Linked DNA regions of Drosophila melanogaster. The protein of the gene in region 1 interacts with the protein of each later gene in a pairwise test. Each region holds a gene or a part of one and is shown in the gene's direction. Other genes may lie near its edges. The genes, in order: CG10209, Eip78C, CG15458 and CG10918.

Region 1 (5,800 bases):
GTGTCACTTTGATTCCCATCAACAAGATTCAATCTGGTTCGCTAAACAGAAATGTGGTAGAATACGCTCAAAACAAAGTGGGCGCCGAGAATGTCCAATGGGCCATGTCACTGATTGACTATGACCGCTATTACGAGCCTGTCATGAAGTTTTGCTTTGGCGGAACACTTATCTGCAAGGACCTCATTGTAGCCAAACAAGTGAGTATATATATTTCTTTTTCTGTACATCTTTTAAATGCATTTTTTTTATCTAGATCAGCTACGACCCCCGTATTAATTGTCGTTCTGTGACTTTGGAAGGAGATGTCGTCGATCCCCATGGCACAGTGTCTGGAGGTGCTGCTCCTAAAGGTGCTAACGTTCTAGAAGAATTGCACGCAATTAAGCAAATAGAAAAGGAGTACAGGGAGATCGACTCTGAGATAGCCCAAGTGGAAAAGCAAATTGCGTAGGTGAACCAGTAACTTCTCATTGCCAATACTTACGCCTATCTGTTTTTAGATCCATTGAAAACCAGGCCCTCGCGTTCAACAAAATGAAGGAAAATCTTGACTTGCGACAGCACGAGCTAACCATGTGCGAGAACAGGTTGGCCCAAACAACCTTTCAACAGAATCAGGCTGAAATTGAAGAAATGAGGGAAAGGGTCAAGACCCTAGAGCAGCAAATAATTGACTCCCGTGAAAAGCAGAAGACCTCGCAAGCCAAAATAGTGGATATCGAGGCGAAGTTGGCAGATGCAAAGGGTTATCGCGAGCGAGAGCTGAATGCAGCCACCAACGAGATCAAGGTGACCAAGCAAAGGGCGGAGAAATCTCGTGCGAACTGGAAAAAGCGAGAGCAGGAGTTCGAAACTCTTCAATTGGAAATTACTGAGCTGCAGAAAAGTATCGAAACTGCAAAGAAGCAGCACCAGGAAATGATTGATAACCTCGAAAAGTTTAAGGCCGAGCTAGACGCTCTGAAAGTAAATAGCTCCAGTGCCGCGTCCGAGGTGACGGAGCTCGAACAGGCGATTAAGGAGCAGAAAGATAAACTGAGAGATCAGAACAAGGAGATGCGAAATCAGTTGGTCAAGAAGGAGAAAATGTTGAAGGAAAATCAGGAGATTGAGCTGGAGGTGAAGAAAAAAGAGAACGAACAAAAAAAGATCAGTTCGGATGCCAAAGAGGCAAAGAAACGGATGGAAGCCCTTGAGGCAAAGTATCCGTGGATTCCGGAGGAGAAGAACTGCTTTGGCATGAAGAATACTCGGTACGATTACAGCAAGGAGGACCCCCACGAAGCAGGCAACAAGCTGGCAAAGATGCAGGAGAAAAAGGACAAAATGGAACGCACTCTCAACATGAACGCTATCATGGTGCTGGATCGCGAGGAAGAGAACTTCAAGGAGACCGAGCGCCGGCGAAACATTGTGGCGATGGACAAGGAGAAGATTAAGAAAATCATAGTGAAGATGGACGAAGAAGAGCAGGATCAGCTGAACAAAGCCGCTACCGAGGTGAACACGAACTTCAGTGGGATCTTTAGCTCCCTTTTACCGGGTGCTGAAGCGAAACTCAATCCCGTCCATACCAATGGCTGTCTGACCGGTTTGGAGATTAAAGTCGGCTTCAATGGCATATGGAAGGAGAGTCTCGGTGAACTTTCTGGTGGCCAGAAGTCCTTGGTGGCTCTGTCCCTTGTCCTGGCCATGCTTAAGTTCTCTCCGGCTCCCTTGTACATTTTGGATGAGGTGGACGCTGCCCTGGACATGTCACACACCCAAAACATAGGTAGTATGTTGAAGCAGCACTTCACCAACTCGCAGTTCTTGATTGTGTCTCTCAAGGATGGTCTCTTCAACCACGCCAACGTCCTGTTCCGCACTCTCTTCGAGGAGGGTGTGTCCACCATCACCCGGCAGGTCAGCAGACAGGCGACAACCAACAAACGCTGAAATGGAACTCGTTTACTTTCTTATCACTTAATAAAACTTTAAAAATACCATATAAAACTGTTCTTATCATTTTAATTGTGAATTTTTTCAAGTTTTTTTAATTCGCAAAAAAGGTTGTGTATTACAGCAATATACTTATTTCAAGAGCCATCGGTCAATATACTTATTGCTACATTACTTAAATCAACGAAATAAGTAATTTAACTACAAATTTAATTTTGTAACGGTCGTTTGCGCATCAGCTGATTTCCAACCGGGCGGGCGAAACGTCAAACTGGTGAGACCGTCAAACGCACACACACACATACGCAGCGGACAGAAGAAGAAGAACGAAAGGCAGCAACAGCAATGTTTGAGGGAGTGAAAAATTAAACAAAAGTCCCCGGAATTCAGCAGCAAAAACTCGACGGCGGTTGAAAAACAAAACATCAAGATTTCGAGCCAACGCAGACTGCTTCAAAAGCTCACCATGGTAATTTGCAAGGTTCCAAAAATTACGAATCGTCCGATTCTTTTACCACACACACACACGACTTGTGCGTGTGTGTGTGCGGGGAGCAGCAAAATATTGTAGACACCGCTGGCATTTGGATAAACAATAGCAACAATTGGAGTGGTGTTCGAGGCGGGAAAAGCACCGATTTGTGGAATTTCATTCATTGGAATGTGGGATTGCTAATGAACCGTTTTACTCTTCCAGGATCGAGTGACCAAGCCGCAGAAGAAGATGCTCATCACACTGCTGCGGGAAACCAAGTACATGGAGGGCAAAAAGGAGAAGGAGTGGTATTGGGAGAAGATCCAAGCGGCCCTTAATACTATTGGTCCCAAGAAGACGATTATTCAGTGGAAAAAGGTGCGTTTACTTGCCTATTAAATCCAAAAATAAACTTTAATCTTCTTCCAGTGCTGGCGCGATATGCGACTGACCACAAGGAAAAAGCTGGCGGAACTGAAGCGCTGTCAACTCTCTGGAGGATCTCCACCACCGGGGATCGAACTAAACCAGGAGGACAACGATATCATCGACATTGTGGGCACCGAGTACTTCTACGAGGAGATGAATGGTGAGCTCAAGGCGGAGAACTTCTTGACCGGCTTGGACTACGCCCCGGAGCATCTGTGCGATGCTATTCTCACGGCAGCAGTGGGCCATCACCAGCACAATATGCAGCACCAGAAGGATCCGCAATCGCATGCAGGGCAACAGCAGCAGCAGGATCATCACACCAACGATGGCGAAACCAATGATGCTCCTGGATCAAGCAATGGTGGCTCATATCAGGGACACCCAGTATCCCAGTTGCAGGCGCACAATGGCAGCGGTGGAGGAGGCGAGCATAGCGGCGGTGGTCAATCCCACTCCGGAATGCTCCAGCACCCTGCTTTTCACGGTGGCTTGCATCCACACCTGTTGAGGCGCCAGCATGGAAGTGGATCACTATCCAGAGAGTCGCCATTTGAGGAGAAGCTTCTGCAGTTCATGCAGGATGCATTTCCAAAAAAGAGCAAGAAGCGCAAGAACCGGGATCCCGACAAGCTGTTCCTCTTATCCCTGTACGAAGAGATCAAGAGAGTTCCGGAGGAGATACGCCTTGATGTAAAGTCCGAACTAATGCAGATACTGAAGAAGTATCAGAAGAAGTCGCCTGTCAAAGCGGAGAAGCCCGCGCCCTCCTCTACGTCAACCTCCTCAAAACTCAGCTCTAGCAGCAGTGGCAGTAGCACGGTGACTACTCACTTGTCCCACAGCATGTACCAGTTGCAAAAGAAATACGAAAAGGGCGAGCGTGAACCATCGCCTCAATCACAGGTAGAGCGAGTAGCATCTGCAGGCGCAGTTGCTGTGCCCATTCATACCTCCCAGCAGCTGCCTCTTTTCCAACTTCAGAAGAAGTACGAGGAGAACAGCGTGGAGAAGGTTCATCAGCAGCAACAGCAACAGCAAAGCGAGCAACGCAAGCATGTGGAGGCCGCTCAGGCCCTTCATGCTGCCCACCAGCAACCGCCTCCACCGCCACCCAATGAGCACCTGCACCACCCCCAGATGGCCCACAACATCATGTTTCCGCTGGGACAGCTTCGCAACGAGCAGCCGACCGCACAGCAACACCAGCATGGCCACAATCCCCACCAGCAACAGCAACAGCATCCCCACCAGCAGCAGCAACAGGGACAGCAACACCATCCGCCAACGATCTTCGGATCGACCGCCAGCGAACGGCCTCCAATGTCCTACGAAAATGTCGGATGAGTCCTGAGCCGTCTGTGGGAAGCCACTTGTGGAGCACCACGCCCTGCGACGGTGTCCCCCACGACGGCAGACGCGCACAGCTGTTAGCCCTCGATTTAGACGGCAATTCGTAGGTCTCATTCTTATGCTAGCCTATACCTAAGTACACATTGCTCACTACACTACTACAGTCAAAAATGGTGCAGTCAATGAGGAAGATACTCCTGATGTATGCCATTTTGTAGTAAGTGGATGCCGTGATCCTCATGTAAATGTTCCCGTGGCAATAACAGCGTAGCTCAACTGTGACTCAAGTTCTCAATAGATCGCGACGCATACATTTTTTCGGTGTAAATACAAATATAATTGAATCTTAAAAACTGTGGATGTTTTTTAGTTCAAGTAAAATGATTGATCCCCAACTTCTGGCAAGAGCTCCCTATTCCCAGGTTTTTGTTTTTCTGGCCAAATCGGAGAAGTCATTGGCTTAGCTCTGAGGTGGAATCCACAATCTTGTTTGTTTGGACTTTGAAAAGCTGTAAATCCGGCAAGCGGTCCGTCGTTAAGCTGTCTTCAGGAATATCTAGTCTTCATCTCTCGTAACGCGATAACGAAACCCACAGGGAGCACGCCATATCATAAAGATAGTCAAACAGCTGACTGATCCGGTCTGCCTAAGTGCGAATTTCAACTGAGCGCTGCCGATCGCCGAACTCGTCGTTGTCTGTCGCATGTTGGGCAGGTTGATGAGCGATCACGAGCCGAGCTGCAGCATAGTCCGCCAGATCTGCGGCGCTTATCAGTGGCGTCCGGCTGGGATAAAGAGATACAGATACAGATACAGGCGGATCGACTGGAGGCAGACTGGGTCTGGCATTCTTTTCCGGCAGCTGCCAGCAGCAGTTGATCGTCAGCGATCGAATCACAGGGATTGGCGGCAGCTCCTGCAGATGCAGAGTTCAAATTTCCAGTGAAGTTCTCAACCAGTCAATCCATTCACCATGGGCCAAGGTACGAGAATGATCTGAAATTCGTGTCTTACCTCGAAACTCGAAGTCGAAGATCTTGTTTAAGACCTCCAAATGAAGAACAACCACAAGTTGGGAGCTCGCATTTCATGTACTCTACTTTGATCTTTTTAGTCGAGGCGCGCACTGTGCTGTGGTACATGACATTCATCGGTTTCATCGTGAACTACATGATCCGGATCAATCTGAACATTACCATTGTGGACATGATTGCCGGGAAGGGTGCTATTACCTCAAATGAAACCCACGAGAACTCTACGGACTTGGCTGCCCTTGCGGAAATGAATGAACGATTTTCGCTGGAGCGTTGGTTTTTGGACTGGGCGAATGTGAGTATCAGATCGCTGAATCACTGGTTAAGTGCTTAATGAAAGCCACAAAGTGACGGAGCTTGTGCAACAACGGGGCGTATGAGTAACGTGTGTGTGCACTATATCTTTGGCAGATTCCGTACGAAAAGAATGGATTTCACTGGAACGAGAAGCAGCAGGGCGCTCTGTTGGGATCATTTTTCTGGGCCCACTGGACACTGCAGATTCCCGGCGGCATCTTGGCCACCAAATATGGTACTAAACTGGTGTTTGGTTGGTCCAATGGC
Region 2 (5,611 bases), on another chromosome or scaffold:
GATCGGTGGGGGCGGCGGAGTTATCGCTTCGATTGGTCGTCGTACCTCGGCTGCTCGCTGGCTTTTCGCTTTCGCGGAGGATCGTGGATATGTGGCTCCACCGATCGCCCAGTTGCCGTTTTCCTGTTATTTACAGTTTCTGGTTGCTTTCGCTGCTGCCCGTTGGAAAAATGGCAAGCTAGCATGCAGTTGACGTCGCCGCCGCCGCTGATCATTGACTTTCGTTCGTTCCCTTTTGCGCCAGGCGTTCGTCACGAAAATTGCGGAAAACGTTAGGGAAAAAGGAAAAAATACTATTCGAAAAAGAGATTTCTGTACCTAGTTAATTAATTCCTTGTACCCTTGCAATTTGCACAATCATATTATTTTTTATCATTGTCCTTGAATGTAAATTCATTTTTCGGGAAAATTTGGCATTGTTTGCTTTTTATTTTCAAGTCAAAACATTAAACCTTTTTGACTCAGAAGCAAATTCCTAAATACTTCATTTGATCTTCAAAAATAATTTTCAGGAAAGTATTTTCATGCCAAAAACTGCAGTTTTCCACTTTCTTCTCGGTGAAAAACAGCCCACAAACGCAAAAGCAACATGCAACATTTAAACTTCCGCATTGCAGAATTTGCTCTCCCACTCTGCCGTTCGGCCTTTCTCTTTCCTGCCTGCTCAGCTGAAGGTTCTTTGACTTGACCCCCCTTGAAGGCGCCCACACTTCTGCCCTCTCTCTTTCTCGCGCACACACACATGCCCATTGCCCTCTCCCTCGAGGATAGTGCAAACTAAGTAACGGTCCGAGTCTCTCTCTATTGCTCTCGCTCGCTGCATTGGTGTGTGTGAAATTGATCTTGAGTGGATGTGTGGTTGCACTTGGAAATGTTGGAAGTCGATGCCGACGTTGGCAGCAACGCCGGCAGCGGCAATAGAAATTGAAAATAGCAACCAGGAAAAGAGTTTGCAAATGAAAAAGTGCAGCAACAAAATACAGCTGCAACAGCGAGAGTGGCAATGCATGTTTCTGTTGTGCTGTTGCTGTTGCAACAGTTGCTGCTGCTGTTGCCGATTCTATTGCTGCAGCAGTTTCTAATGTGGCTGCAGCTTTCCAAGTTGTTGCTGTTGCAGCTTGTGTGGCTGCTGTTATTGCTGCTGCTCTTGCTGTCGCTGGCGCTGGTGGAGATTAGAAAGATAGAGCCTCCAGTACTCGCATCACATTGACTCTCTCCAACCGATCTGCTCCCTTCATCTCCTCCAGCGGCTCCACCTCATGCTCCGGCGGCGGCGGCGCTTCGCAGTTTTCCCACTCCATTGGGCCACACAGACGCAATGCATTCTATTTTCCTGCTCTTTCCACACACAGACCAGCGCACAGTTACTCACACTGGCGCAGAGGGACACGTTCTTGTTCTTCTGCGCCGCTGCTCCGTCGTCGTCTTGGACTTTTGTGTGTTGTCGTAGGTTCTACAGTTTAGCTTGGATTTTCCCTGGCGCATTTGGAGCGCTGCGAAGTTGGCGCTTGGATCTCGACGAAGCGAGAGTTTTGTACGCGCGATCACCATTTCTCCCAAAAAATAATAAAATCGACGCGCGAGTGTGCCGCCACAAAACGAACCTATATCGAAACGAGCGCCCGATTTTGGAACTAGCCTGAACTTGGAAACGAAGGACTTCGAAAACAACACGGAAGTGAATTGAAAAATTATGCAATACAAGCTATTACGAAGGCTAAGTGCAAGTGACAAACTTAAGCGAGGGGATTAGTAATGAGAAATGCGAAATGATCGTGATAATTGAATTCAAGCATTAACGAAAGAACTGCGCACAAAGTAGGGAGGCAATAATTACATATGTACATGGCTGGGAAAGGCCTTAACTAAACTTAGCAAACTAATAAATAGAAAAAAGGAAATATTGGCCAAATATTATAGTATTGGGAATATTAGGTTACTTGATATCAAAAATTAATGTCTATTTTATACACTTATTCTTAGACTTAATGTTAACTTATCGTACTTATTATGATTGGTTTTTCAAGATTACCAGAACTTGATAGATTGGTCTAGCTTTTGAAATCGGATAGCATTTTCTTTAAAGGACTTTGCCATATGCTAAAGCCTAACTTCTTTTTTCAATTCAGCCACAGCTGACAAAAGCGAAGAAAATTTGAAAGACCGTGAATCCTTTTGAAACGCCCTCTCCGGATTCCTCATTAAGTGCAAAAGATATAACATCGCAGAGATTTCCCATAAAAATGCTGATCAGGCGCCCTCGCAGGTTGCCAACGTCGATTTCCGCCAGCAGGACGATGATGAAGATGATGGATGCCCATCTCACCGATTCGATCCGAGCAACATGGATGTATACCAAATAGAGCTGGAGGAACAGGCACAAATCCGCTCCAAACTGCTGGTCGAAACCTGTGTGAAGCACTCGTCTTCGGAGCAGCAGCAGCTCCAAGTTAAGCAGGAGGACCTCATCAAGGATTTCACTCGGGACGAGGAGGAACAGCCAAGCGAAGAGGAGGCGGAGGAAGAGGACAACGAAGAGGACGAGGAAGAAGAAGGCGAAGAAGAAGAGGAGGACGAGGACGAGGAAGCCCTGCTGCCGGTAGTCAATTTTAATGCAAATTCAGACTTTAATTTGCATTTCTTTGACACACCGGAGGACTCGTCCACCCAAGGGGCCTACAGTGAGGCCAATAGCTTGGAATCCGAGCAGGAAGAGGAGAAGCAAACACAGCAGCATCAGCAGCAGAAGCAGCATCACCGGGATTTGGAGGATTGCCTAAGTGCCATTGAAGCTGATCCATTGCAGTTGTTGCATTGCGACGACTTCTATAGAACATCAGCCCTAGCAGAGAGTGTTGCAGCCAGTCTAAGCCCACAGCAGCAGCAGCAACGGCAGCACACCCACCAGCAACAACAGCAACAGCAGCAGCAGCAGCAACACCCTGGACAGCAGCAACATCAGCTCAACTGCACGCTGAGCAATGGTGGAGGTGCTTTGTACACCATCAGCAGTGTGCATCAGTTCGGTCCGGCCAGCAACCACAACACCAGCAGCAGCTCCCCCTCCTCCAGCGCCGCCCACTCTTCGCCGGACAGCGGCTGCTCGTCGGCCTCCTCCTCCGGATCTTCGCGATCCTGCGGATCCTCCTCTGCATCCTCCTCCTCGTCAGCGGTCAGCAGCACCATCAGCAGCGGCCGCAGCAGCAACAACAGCGTCGTCAACCCCGCAGCAACATCTTCATCTGTTGCGCATCTGAACAAAGGTACGTGCAATTTGCAACTGACACTGCGACTCTTCCGCGTTGTCGTCTCCTCTCCTCTGCTGCGGACCATTGTTGTCGGTCTTTGAAATTGTGTTCAATAAATTTGCATTCATTGCATAATAGCTGCAACAGCAATTGAAAGTCGTTGGGTCTTCGGTTTCTTCTCCTTTTGAGGAAACTATTAAAGCGCAGCATGGAAAATGTGAAAATGAATATAATTCGCTGTTATTGGCCAATGGCTGTTGCTGTTTCAGTTTTCTCTTTAGTGCGAGGAAATTGCTTTTCATGTTGCACGTCTGTCAATGTGCTTGCATTTGCCGCTGCATTTGCTTTTCCTTTTGGGTGCAGTGCAATTGAAAGCCATGGAAAAGATGTTTTAATTTTCATAAATCGCCTTGAATTGGTCTCGGCTCTCTTTTGCCTTGGATGATGGTATTTGAAGGGGCTAAGCCCATTCTACTCCTCCGGGAGTAGTTGGTGGCTCGAACGAATGGGTAGTTGGAACCGGAAATGCAACAAAACATAGGCTTAATAACTACTACGGTCAGCTGCTGCTTACACAGAGACTTTCAAAAAAAGAAACCAACATATATATTTTAAACAATTTTTTTTATAAATATCTAAATCCAATACATTTTTATTGCTGAATGATTTACCGCCACTAATAGCCAAGAAAATGATTATTTAACTTTAAATATAAATTTGTTTATTTTCAATAAATTTTATAATATTTTGAACTACAATTCGACATTATAAATACTATTCGGCTTGGCTGAACTTGCAAATTGCCTGGATTTTTTGGCGAAGATTTCATTTCGAGTCCTGGAATGGCAACATTTAATTGCGTCAATTAGTGCGAATGAAAATTAAATCTGTTAGGAAAGGCCTTGAAATCAAGCTGGGAATTAGAGGAAAAGTCAAAATCTCGACTGCTTTTTCCACGGCATTCAAATTGATATTCCTCTGCCGGGGCAAAAATTGACTGCAATCGCTCGTTGTCCACTCCACTCAATTAGTTGTCTTCAACCAGATAAATGCATGAAATGAAAATGGAAATGGGAAAAAGTCGAGGAAATATGAAGTCTTTGTCGTCTATCGTCCATGCCTCTGACTTGTCTGACAACGCGGAAATGCCAAGCAGTTTTCCACCAGCCAGTCAGCCAGCCAGCCAGCCAGCCAGTCAACCCACAACCCGCACCCCTTTTTCTTCGGCTGGATAAACAATGGCGTTTCAAATTGTCAACTTGCAAAAGCCACCAAATGATTTGCATTTGAACGCGGCGCGAAAATGAAAAGCAGCCACTTGAGTTTCCTTTGCGTTTTCTTTTCTTTTTCATTCCTGCCCGGGCCGACGACATTTTCCAGACGCCGTTGTTGTAGTTGTAATTGTTGTTGCACTCCAATTGTAAAAATTCAATTTGCAATTGCACAAGCGCGTAACGCGCCATCCACTGTAAGAAAAAACAAATGATGTAAACATGCATCACCAAAGTTGATCACCAAATAAATATTAACAAATTTAAACGGTTTCGGAAGTGATGTGTATTAGATTAATATTTGTTACAAAATTTGTAAAGGACAGTTTCTTGGACCAAGCACAAGGACATTTTATTACAAGAAATAAATTGAAGTTCTGTCTCCATATTTCCGTTCCTGTCGACAGTTTTTCGGTGCGTGTATCCACATTAATTTCATTTTGTTTCGCATTTCTGAGGTGTGGCAACGCCAATGTGCACAGCGGCAACTAGCAACACCAACACCAACAACATCGCGACAACAACAATAGAAGGCTGTTCAAACTCCGCGCTTAGTTCATTTGCCTCTTCCTTTTGCATTAGAAAAGCGAAAAATAGCAGCAAGACATGCAGTCAAATTGAATTCGAAATGAAATGCCAAGAAGCAAACATTGCTGCCTGGCTCCAGTTTTTCTTTGCTTGTTTTTCTTTTCTTCTTTTTCCCTAATTTGCAATGCAAATTTTTTTCGGCGCTCGCACTGTGAAAATTGTGCGGCTGCAGCTTTCCTCGTGACTGCCGTTTTTACAGGCAATTTATTGTAGGCGGTGGCGTATACGTGATTTTTTGGCATTTCTTCTTATCGCACATCTCCTGGAAGTTGAATGCACTCTTTGGCCATTGGATTTAACTTTGATCACCAGCCCACTGGAGGATGATTAAGATGGGAGCCTTAAAGCTGTCGGAAAAAAATAATTTAGCCATTAGGTGGCTTAAATCAATTACTGGTGACACTTGTCGATTGATTGCGCTTGTGATCGTGATTGTGATTGTGGCTGTCCCGTGTTGCAAGAAGGTGACATTTTGGACGATGGCGAGTGGGTGACATGGCGGCA
Region 3 (4,032 bases), on another chromosome or scaffold:
AGGCCACTGCTAGCAGAAGGTTCGTCATCTTCAACGTCGTCGTCATTCGGCTGCACTGCATCATTTTTGCTCTTCTTGTGAATAGTGGACGGACAGCAATCGGCGCCGGGCAATTTATACCCGCCGCAATCGTGTCCAGCACATCCGGTACAAGCAAATCGCCTCGGATGTAGATCAACCGGCGATAGCCATGACATTGCTGGGGCGGATCATGCAAGCCCCACCACAACCACAGCCAACCACCCATTCGTCCATCCATCGCAGCCCAGTTAAAATACAGCACAGATGACGGGGCCCTCCGGCTAGCTTTTATTGATCATCTGGTCAGGGGATTGGGCTTGGGTGTGGGTTTAGGATTGCGGACAAGAGATATACATATCTACTTTATTTGCTGCGGAGTCACCTGTTCCGAATGCCAAAGTGTGACGCATCTGGTATCGCATTGGCAGCCTCGGATGGAAAGCCTAGGGAAACACGAATACCTTGATGTTGTTCTTCAGGCAGCTGAGCAGGGCGTGGGCGGGATCGCAGTTGGGGGCGTTCTTCAGGCCGACGGTGGAGTCCTTGCACAGATTGATGCCCTTGCGGTACTCGTCCTTGTAGCTGTCCGGCAGCATGATGTCCATCTGCTTGAGGGTCGACTCCAGCTGGAACTTTCCCTTCTTGATCTAAGCAGGAGCAGAGCGGAAAGAAGGAGCTGATAATGTAACCAACACAGCCGATGGAAACTTCTTAATACGTACTGCCTGCATCATTTCCAGGATGCAATTGATGTAGCAGTTGGTGTCCTTGCTATTGGGTATGTCACCGTTGCGAATGTTGTCGGCCACCTCGACGCTGACCTTCGGATACTTGGGCAGGCAGACGTCGCGCATCAGCTTTCCGGCAGACCACATCTGCTCCTCCGTCACCTGCAAGTGGACAGTATCCATGAGGCATCCTCCGGCAGAGAGAAGAGCTTAAGGACCTACCCCTGCCTCCGACTGGGGGATTGGTCCCAGGGATATGGCGACGCAGACCAGCAGCAGATGGAACTTCATTTCCGAGACGATTTGGCGGATTCCAGACTCCAGACCCATCGGCGACTCCTTTTATACACGGCCCCCGACATGCAAATGACTTCATATTGGTTCGATCGAACCGCTAAGTGGGTGTGGGAATTATGGGTTAGCGCCAATCGCCGCCCCCACTGCCCATTTCCATATCCAAATGGGCGGGCGGTGGGTGGTGTTCCTGGGGCGGATTACTTTCTGGCCGGGCTATAATCTTGCCACGTTAATTGACAGTGTACACAGGTATGTGGTCACCGTGCGAGGTGGCATGCGAGGCGCGATTCTGGCCGAGATGCGTTGACAATCCCATTGCTGGGCCGCATTTCCCCAGTGTTCATCAGCGATCATGCGAATGCAAATAAGGTTTCAATCTGAGATCTAACGGGGCGGTTCCAAAATCGGTTCCAGAGTTAGGGTCGCATGGATACCGCGCATCCAGTTTTCCGTTTTGAGGTCAAACAATGTAAAGATAATCACAATCGGTAATAATGTTTGGTATATATCTTAAAAAATTATAAAATAAAATCTATTTTTACAAATAGTTTGCTATTTACATATACTCCTTCAAGATGCTGATTTTAAGATATACTATCTGGAAAAAAAAGTTTTTATATTTTGATAGTCCACCAGATACCACCAGATATTTTGCTACCACCAGATATTTTGCATACCAGATGGTTGCTGTTTTTTTGTTTTTTTTCTGGAGACTCACATAACAAGTGGCCATTTTTTTCCAATATATTTAAAAATTTAATTACAAGGCAGGCATTTTAAATATAAGCCTTGTAACCCCTTAAGTAAGTCCATTACACTCACTTTAACCACCTATTACCTTGTATGCAAATGAGTAGTTCGGTTTGATTAGCATTCAAATTAGTTGCAAGTTGGCATTTATTTGGCGAAATGTATTTCATTTGTGCATTTAGTACAACTGATGACGTTGAAATAAGTAGTATTGCGTGTGGCATGAGCCCAAATCGCTGATAAAGCTAACTGCAATAAATAATAAATGTAAATTATAATATCACAAAAGGCTTATGTTTGCATTAGCATAACTGAAGCGTACAGCTAAATAGGCCAGAATGTTTACATGCTAGCTAGGTGATAAAATACATTTGTAGAGGATATATTAGATATATAATGGTCGATCGATATGCGATGTTAATATCAGATTCCAAGACTTTCATACGGACAGACATAGCCATATCGGCTTGGCTAGTGATCCTAATTCCGACCAGGATGGCAAGAAGTTCTGTGTGACATACAATTTTCAACGAATCTAGTAACTGGTTTAAAAATAGTTATAGCTGTAACATGCTTAAAAATTTCATAAAATTGTAAATGGTATTTAGCTCAATGAATTCTGAAGTTGGTTAAAGGTACAATATGAAAATGTCCAAAACTTTCGATTTGCCTCTTGCATATCTCAATTTTCATCACAGTATTTAAGCAGTAATTAATGGGTATCCCATTAGTCGGTACTAGACTTCAGCATTCTCTCTAGTTGGGAAACCCGAGTCGGCTTTGACGACTGTCAGTAACATTCCTTTCATTTCGAACGTTTAAAAGTCACAATCCGAATCCCGGTCTAAAATACAGGTCGAATATCGAATCCAAATTTTAATCTTTTGTTAAAAGCCACGCCAATCCGGTCAACAACGATCCAAAGATGTCCGATCATTTCAACTTCAACGAAGCCTTCAACAGCCAGACCATGCGTGGTCGCGCCAATGTAAGTGATTCAGTACACGGCAGTACACAAGATGCGCCCAAATACGCCACCGAAACCCACAGGTAGCCAAGGCCACCTGGGCCTCGTTGGGACTCGTCTACGTCCTGGTCAAGATGCACCGCCGCAACACGAAGCGGCGCGAGACCAAGCTCTACTGCAAGGGCTGCCAGCAGGCCATGCTCCATGGCTAGGGCGCCGATGCTGCCAAATCATTGAAGTCATGGCTCCCCACCGCTCCGACCCATTCGACCCGTCAGCAATCCATAACTATTTATAATCAGCACCCCCTTTCCGGTCCTCGATGCCACAGTTAAAGGCTTGGGGACCAAACTCATGTACCACCTCGTTGAGTCAATAAAAATCGAATCCTGCCAATGAATCGACTTTGTAATCTAGTTGGCCGAGCTTTGCACTTCGCTGCTTGTCATTAGGTTCTCGCTCGGAGCTATAGGCAGAACACACTCAGCTCTCACCCGGACCCGACCCCAAATCCAGATCTCCAGATCTCCAGATCCAGTCCAGTAGCAATGGCCGACGGCTTTAAGAAGTACTTCAATGGGACAACCATCAATGGACGCGCTAACGTAAGAGTGATTCTATTGAACGCACACAAGATAAAATGAACCATCGCTTTGGAGCTGTTGATGGACACAAAATATTATTTTCAGCTCCAAATTGAAATTCAAAATTATTAATTTAACATTTTTTTACATACATTTTTTACAAATACATATACTATGACCCATTTCGCAGGTGGCAAAGGCCACATACGCCACGTTGGCCCTGTTGTTCATCGTGTACAAGCTGCGCCGCGGATCCGGCAAGACCGGCGAGTTGGCCAGCGGCAAGTGCAGCTGCGAATCGGACCACGAGTCGTCCCTCAATGGCGACATTGGCGTCTACGGCGCGGATCCCGACTGCTCCGTTTGCCGGGAGCGATCGGAGCGGGCCATGACCGAGTTCGATCGCGAGCAGCAGCGCCGGGCGGCGGGCGAGGATGACAATGGTTGTCGCGACGATCCGCCGCCGCCACCACCTCCGCCCACATCGGGAGGATCAGGCTCTGCTCCGCGGCGCAAGTGTCCCTGCGAGGAGCCGCAGCGTCGGGCGGAGGGAGCCGTGAAGCATAGCAGCCACAGCAGCTGGGCGCGAGGCCAGCAGATTCAGCCGCCAAACCAGTACCAACAGTATAAACAGCCCGAGGCGGAGCAAGTGCGTCCGGCTAGCCAAGTGATGGGTCAGGTGCAC
Region 4 (3,966 bases), on another chromosome or scaffold:
GCTGTGCTTGTTCCAGAAGGGGGCTGTTCCGTATCGGAGTCGTATGTATGTGGCAGAACTATAACCGGAAGCGGAAGAGGAACAGGAACAGGAACAGAACCGCAGCAATAACGCAGCGGCGGCAACTGCAAGTGTTTCCGTTTCGATATCCGGCAGCTTCCTTCACGTGGCCGACAAACTTTCCAAATGCATTAGGGCGCCAAACTTGTGGATGTTGGGTCAAAGGGCATTTTTCCCTACGAATATGGGGAAAGGGGAACGGGAAATATGGAAAACGGGTGGGGGGGTGGCGGGTGTGAAGTGTTTCTTGGGGTAACGCAACGTCACGTTTCTGCAGTAAAACTTTAAAGTTGTGTGAGTTGGCGAGTTTGTGTGTCATGTGAAGTGGTAATTGTTAAGGTTCTGCAGTTCTGCACTATCCCTCTGTCTGCCCACATAAAAAAACCCCCTTTAAGACCTCTTAAAAAACCCCCCCTGTAACTGTTTTACCTTCCCGCATCAAAGTTAATGAAATTTCCAAAAGGGGCAAAAGTTCAAACGACGACAATTGGGCAAGCGCAAAAGCAAGAGGAATTGGGAGAACGCAGAAAAAAAGGCGGAAAAAGGGGAAAAGTACGGGAAAATGAAGGAAAGCCGTAGGGGAAAGCAGAAGAGGGACAGCGAAGAATACCTAGAACCACCAGCTTCTCTGAAAACCCAAAAGATTGTATCCGAAAATTATATTGACACGGTCGTGAATATGTGGCGTCAGTTTCTTCAGCCACACACACACATATGTACTTACTTTTGACGCAAAAATTAATTTTCATTTATATTTTTTTTTTTTTTATCTAAGCCGCAAATTTCTTTTTCTTTTTCTTTGTCATTTCATTTTCATTTTACTCCAAACGAAGTCACCCACCTTCCGGTCCTCGAAATTTCAATTTAAAAATCCCCATATGTGCGGAAAGCGGGAAACGCCATTCTATATTCGCGATTCTTAAACGCCACCCACTCCCGCCGCCCAACTAGGTGTCCTTGTCTCAGCCGCACATTTCACTCGACGCCCTGATTGATTCTAATCAGAAAATTAAGTGGCTCCTCGAGGTCGTTTGCCATGTATTAGCACTAATGTTAAAGATTTCTCTTCCTCGACATCCGCAACTCTCGAATTGGGAAAGTCAGAAAAGCTGTTCAGAGCTTTACTTTTCAGGAACTTAATCCACATTCACTCTAAGATGTTCGATCTTCTATACATATTTTTTTATTAATATAAGAAATATATGTTTATTACTTGGCAGTTGATATAGATAGATTTTAGACATAAATAAATGGCGCAAATGAAGGCTAAGCATGTGTATTTACAAATCAATTGACTTATTTCTGCGAATAAGTGTTACCAATTGAAAGGCCTTAAAAACTAATGAATTTACATAGTTCCTAACTTTTAATAAAGCATGAGAAAATTCAACTTTCGATGCTGGAGTATAAAACAATGCTATAGTCGAGTAAACCGACTAACAGATACCCGTTGCATACGCTTCTACGACTCTAGTATACCCCTTTACTCAGCAAGTAACAGGTATAAATATGTAAATGAAAAAATGAACAAAAAATATAATTTTTCCGACTGAGTCATAGATTTTAAGAGAACTTTTAAACGAGTGCTATTAGAATAAGTAACCCAGTTGTTGACAACAAATAAACAAAGTAAATAAACAAAAATTTGCAGTAGGGTTATAAACCTTCAAATAGACATTCATTTTCTTCTAAGCAAATTTACAATTCGTCTTAGTATTTGGCTAACGTTATGATTGTTTTTTGTTTCATTGTGAGGATACTGCGTAAATTTCTGTAAACTTCCCTCTCTGACACAGCACTTTTTTTTAAACTCAAACGGTTGTATTAAAATAGAAGAATAGAACAATGGAACTAATTCAAACATCGACCAGCTGTTGCCACACGACGAATGAAACAAGAGAAACACACGGATTATTAGATGCGAAGAATTCGAGCTCAGCTCTTCAGGGAGTTCTTCGCTCTATTTTCCATTCTTCGGAGTATCCAGCTAAGCACACAGCCAATGCTGCCGTCACGGGGGATTCTTAGCAAAAAGGCTGATGGATGAATTCGACACCGAATTTTTGGGTATAAAAGGGGCTACACGTACATAACTCAAATCAGTTGCTATTGGAGCAAAAGTCCCACAATGCGTGCCTACATTGCAATTACCCTGCTGGCCCTGGTGGCAGTTGTCGTGGCCCAAGGGGGAGGCGGAAGACGTGGTGGACGCGGTGGCGGCGGAGGCGGTGGCCGAAGTCTTGGAGGATTCGGAGGACGTGGAGGCGGTGGCTTCGGCGGTCGCGGTGGTCCTGGTGGTACTGGTGGCCCCGGTGGCTTCGGCGGACCTGGTCGCTTTGGAGGGCCTGGAGGACTTGGCGGTGGTGGAGGATTCGGAGGTCCCGGCCGCTTTGGCGGTCCCGGAAGCTTCAATGGTGGATTCGGCGGTCCTGGCGGTTGGGGCCCACGTCCACGTCCTCGTCGCCCAAGACCTTGGTGGACGACAACGGAGAGTTCCTTGGCCGACACCAGCAGCACAACTAGCAGCTCCTCCAGCTCCACCGACAGCAGCTCCTCTGCCAGCTCCACTGATAGCTCCACCGATAGCTCCACCGATAGCTCCACCGATAGCTCTACCGATAGCTCCACCGATAGCTCCACTGATAGCAGCTCCACGGAGAGCACTACTGGTTCGGGATAGATTCTGAGTCTCAATTGCAGCGTATTGAAAACTTTCTGGGAAATGTATGAAAATAAAATCTAATTGGCACATTGAAACTTAATTTCATTAACTTGGAATATATTAGTCATATACAGTCATATTAGTCTTACAGACTAGCCGAATCTATTCAGCAATGTCCGTTCGTATTAAGACCTTTGATTCGCACCAAAAAATATCTCGATTAGCATATGAGATTGAAAGCTGTCTCTTAAGAGAATTATCGTTTCTGTTATTTCTTCGATATCGACAGGCAAATCAATCATCTGATTAATGAAATATCATCATTTGTTATCATAAAGTAAACAGCATGAAGGCTAGTTATTTTGATAATTTAATTTTGGCAGCTGCCTGCCGAATAGCTCTATTAGGGCAAATTGAATTTTCAATAAGTGGTAGGCTAAGCGAGAATTGGACATAATAGGAAACACCCGACACCGCTGAGAACACCACATGACATATGCTGCACCATTTCGAGTCCAAAGGGGTGGTGCAACGAACGGGGGCACGGGCACAAACGTGCGGGGAACCTAGTAGGAGTAGGGACCGAAAATCCGGACGCCATATAGAAGAGGGCTGAGAGTGCGGAATGTCCAAATCCAATAAATTGACCAATAATGAACGCTCGAATGCAGCTCGAGGCGAGAGCGCTGTGCAGTGGGTGAACGTGGGAGCAAAGTTGAAAAGCCAAAAAACAATGATGGTCAGTGGCTCTGGCCTGCGGTACTTTGGTCCTTCGCTTTTCCGTCTGCGCTCCCTGGGGCGGCTTCAAGACAACGTCAAAGGCAAGGGCGAGGGGCCAGAAGCTCGAAAAAAAAGACACGAAAAGAACGCAAAAAATCAACTTGCAAAAAATTCCGAAAAGAACAAAAAAAAAAAAAAAAACAAACTCAACACGACACGGACAACATGGAAAAGCTCCAAAGGGCAAGCCCAATGAATTAATGGCACGTCCTTGGCGAACTAAAAATGCTCTATTCGAAGCAAAGCAAGTGTAAAACAATTAATTCGTCGCTTTAAAGGCCTTGAAACCCTTTTCTTACAAAATTACACCCTGCTGTTTCCCAAACACAAGTGCTATATATTCTCTCAATATCTAACTTTAAGCTTTAGATCCCGAAAACTTATGATTTTGAATAGATAGATTGAGCTCTTCTATTGCGTAATAGTTTCTCAATATCTAACTTTAAGCTTTAGATCCCGAAAAC

The links.
Region 2: the proteins of CG10209 (region 1) and Eip78C interact in a two-hybrid assay, tested with the Drosophila melanogaster proteins (one study listed by BioGRID).
Region 3: the proteins of CG10209 (region 1) and CG15458 interact in a two-hybrid assay, tested with the Drosophila melanogaster proteins (2 studies listed by BioGRID).
Region 4: the proteins of CG10209 (region 1) and CG10918 interact in a two-hybrid assay, tested with the Drosophila melanogaster proteins (2 studies listed by BioGRID).

The regions. Positions count from the first base shown.
Region 1 is NT_033778.4:14,844,813-14,850,612, reverse strand, and holds CG10209 (uncharacterized protein), read left to right. Parts: upstream 1-2,246; 5' UTR 2,247-2,410; coding exon 2,411-2,413; intron 2,414-2,641; coding exon 2,642-2,797; intron 2,798-2,848; coding exon 2,849-4,195; coding exon of another isoform or gene 4,196-4,282; 3' UTR 4,283-4,549; downstream 4,550-5,800. Other genes in the region: SMC2 (structural maintenance of chromosomes 2), read left to right, coding at 1-200, 257-450, 504-1,941; NaPi-T (Na[+]-dependent inorganic phosphate cotransporter), read left to right, coding at 5,176-5,185, 5,317-5,531, 5,648-5,800.
Region 2 is NT_037436.4:21,225,129-21,230,739, forward strand, and holds the start of Eip78C (Ecdysone-induced protein 78C), read left to right. Parts: upstream 1-1,790; 5' UTR 1,791-2,344; coding exon 2,345-3,263; intron 3,264-5,611. UniProt on the Drosophila melanogaster protein: Induces the early late puff 78C which triggers puparium formation and development.
Region 3 is NC_004354.4:20,412,777-20,416,808, reverse strand, and holds CG15458 (uncharacterized protein), read left to right. Parts: upstream 1-2,609; 5' UTR 2,610-2,721; coding exon 2,722-2,784; intron 2,785-2,846; coding exon 2,847-2,975; 3' UTR 2,976-3,157; downstream 3,158-4,032. Other genes in the region: Obp19b (Odorant-binding protein 19b), read right to left, coding at 1-64; Obp19a (Odorant-binding protein 19a), read right to left, coding at 465-668, 744-911, 972-1,040; CG15459 (uncharacterized protein), read left to right, coding at 3,312-3,368, 3,538-4,032. UniProt on the Drosophila melanogaster protein: Mitochondrial membrane ATP synthase (F(1)F(0) ATP synthase or Complex V) produces ATP from ADP in the presence of a proton gradient across the membrane which is generated by electron transport complexes of the respiratory chain.
Region 4 is NC_004354.4:21,427,466-21,431,431, reverse strand, and holds CG10918 (uncharacterized protein), read left to right. Parts: upstream 1-2,175; 5' UTR 2,176-2,188; coding exon 2,189-2,740; 3' UTR 2,741-2,818; downstream 2,819-3,966.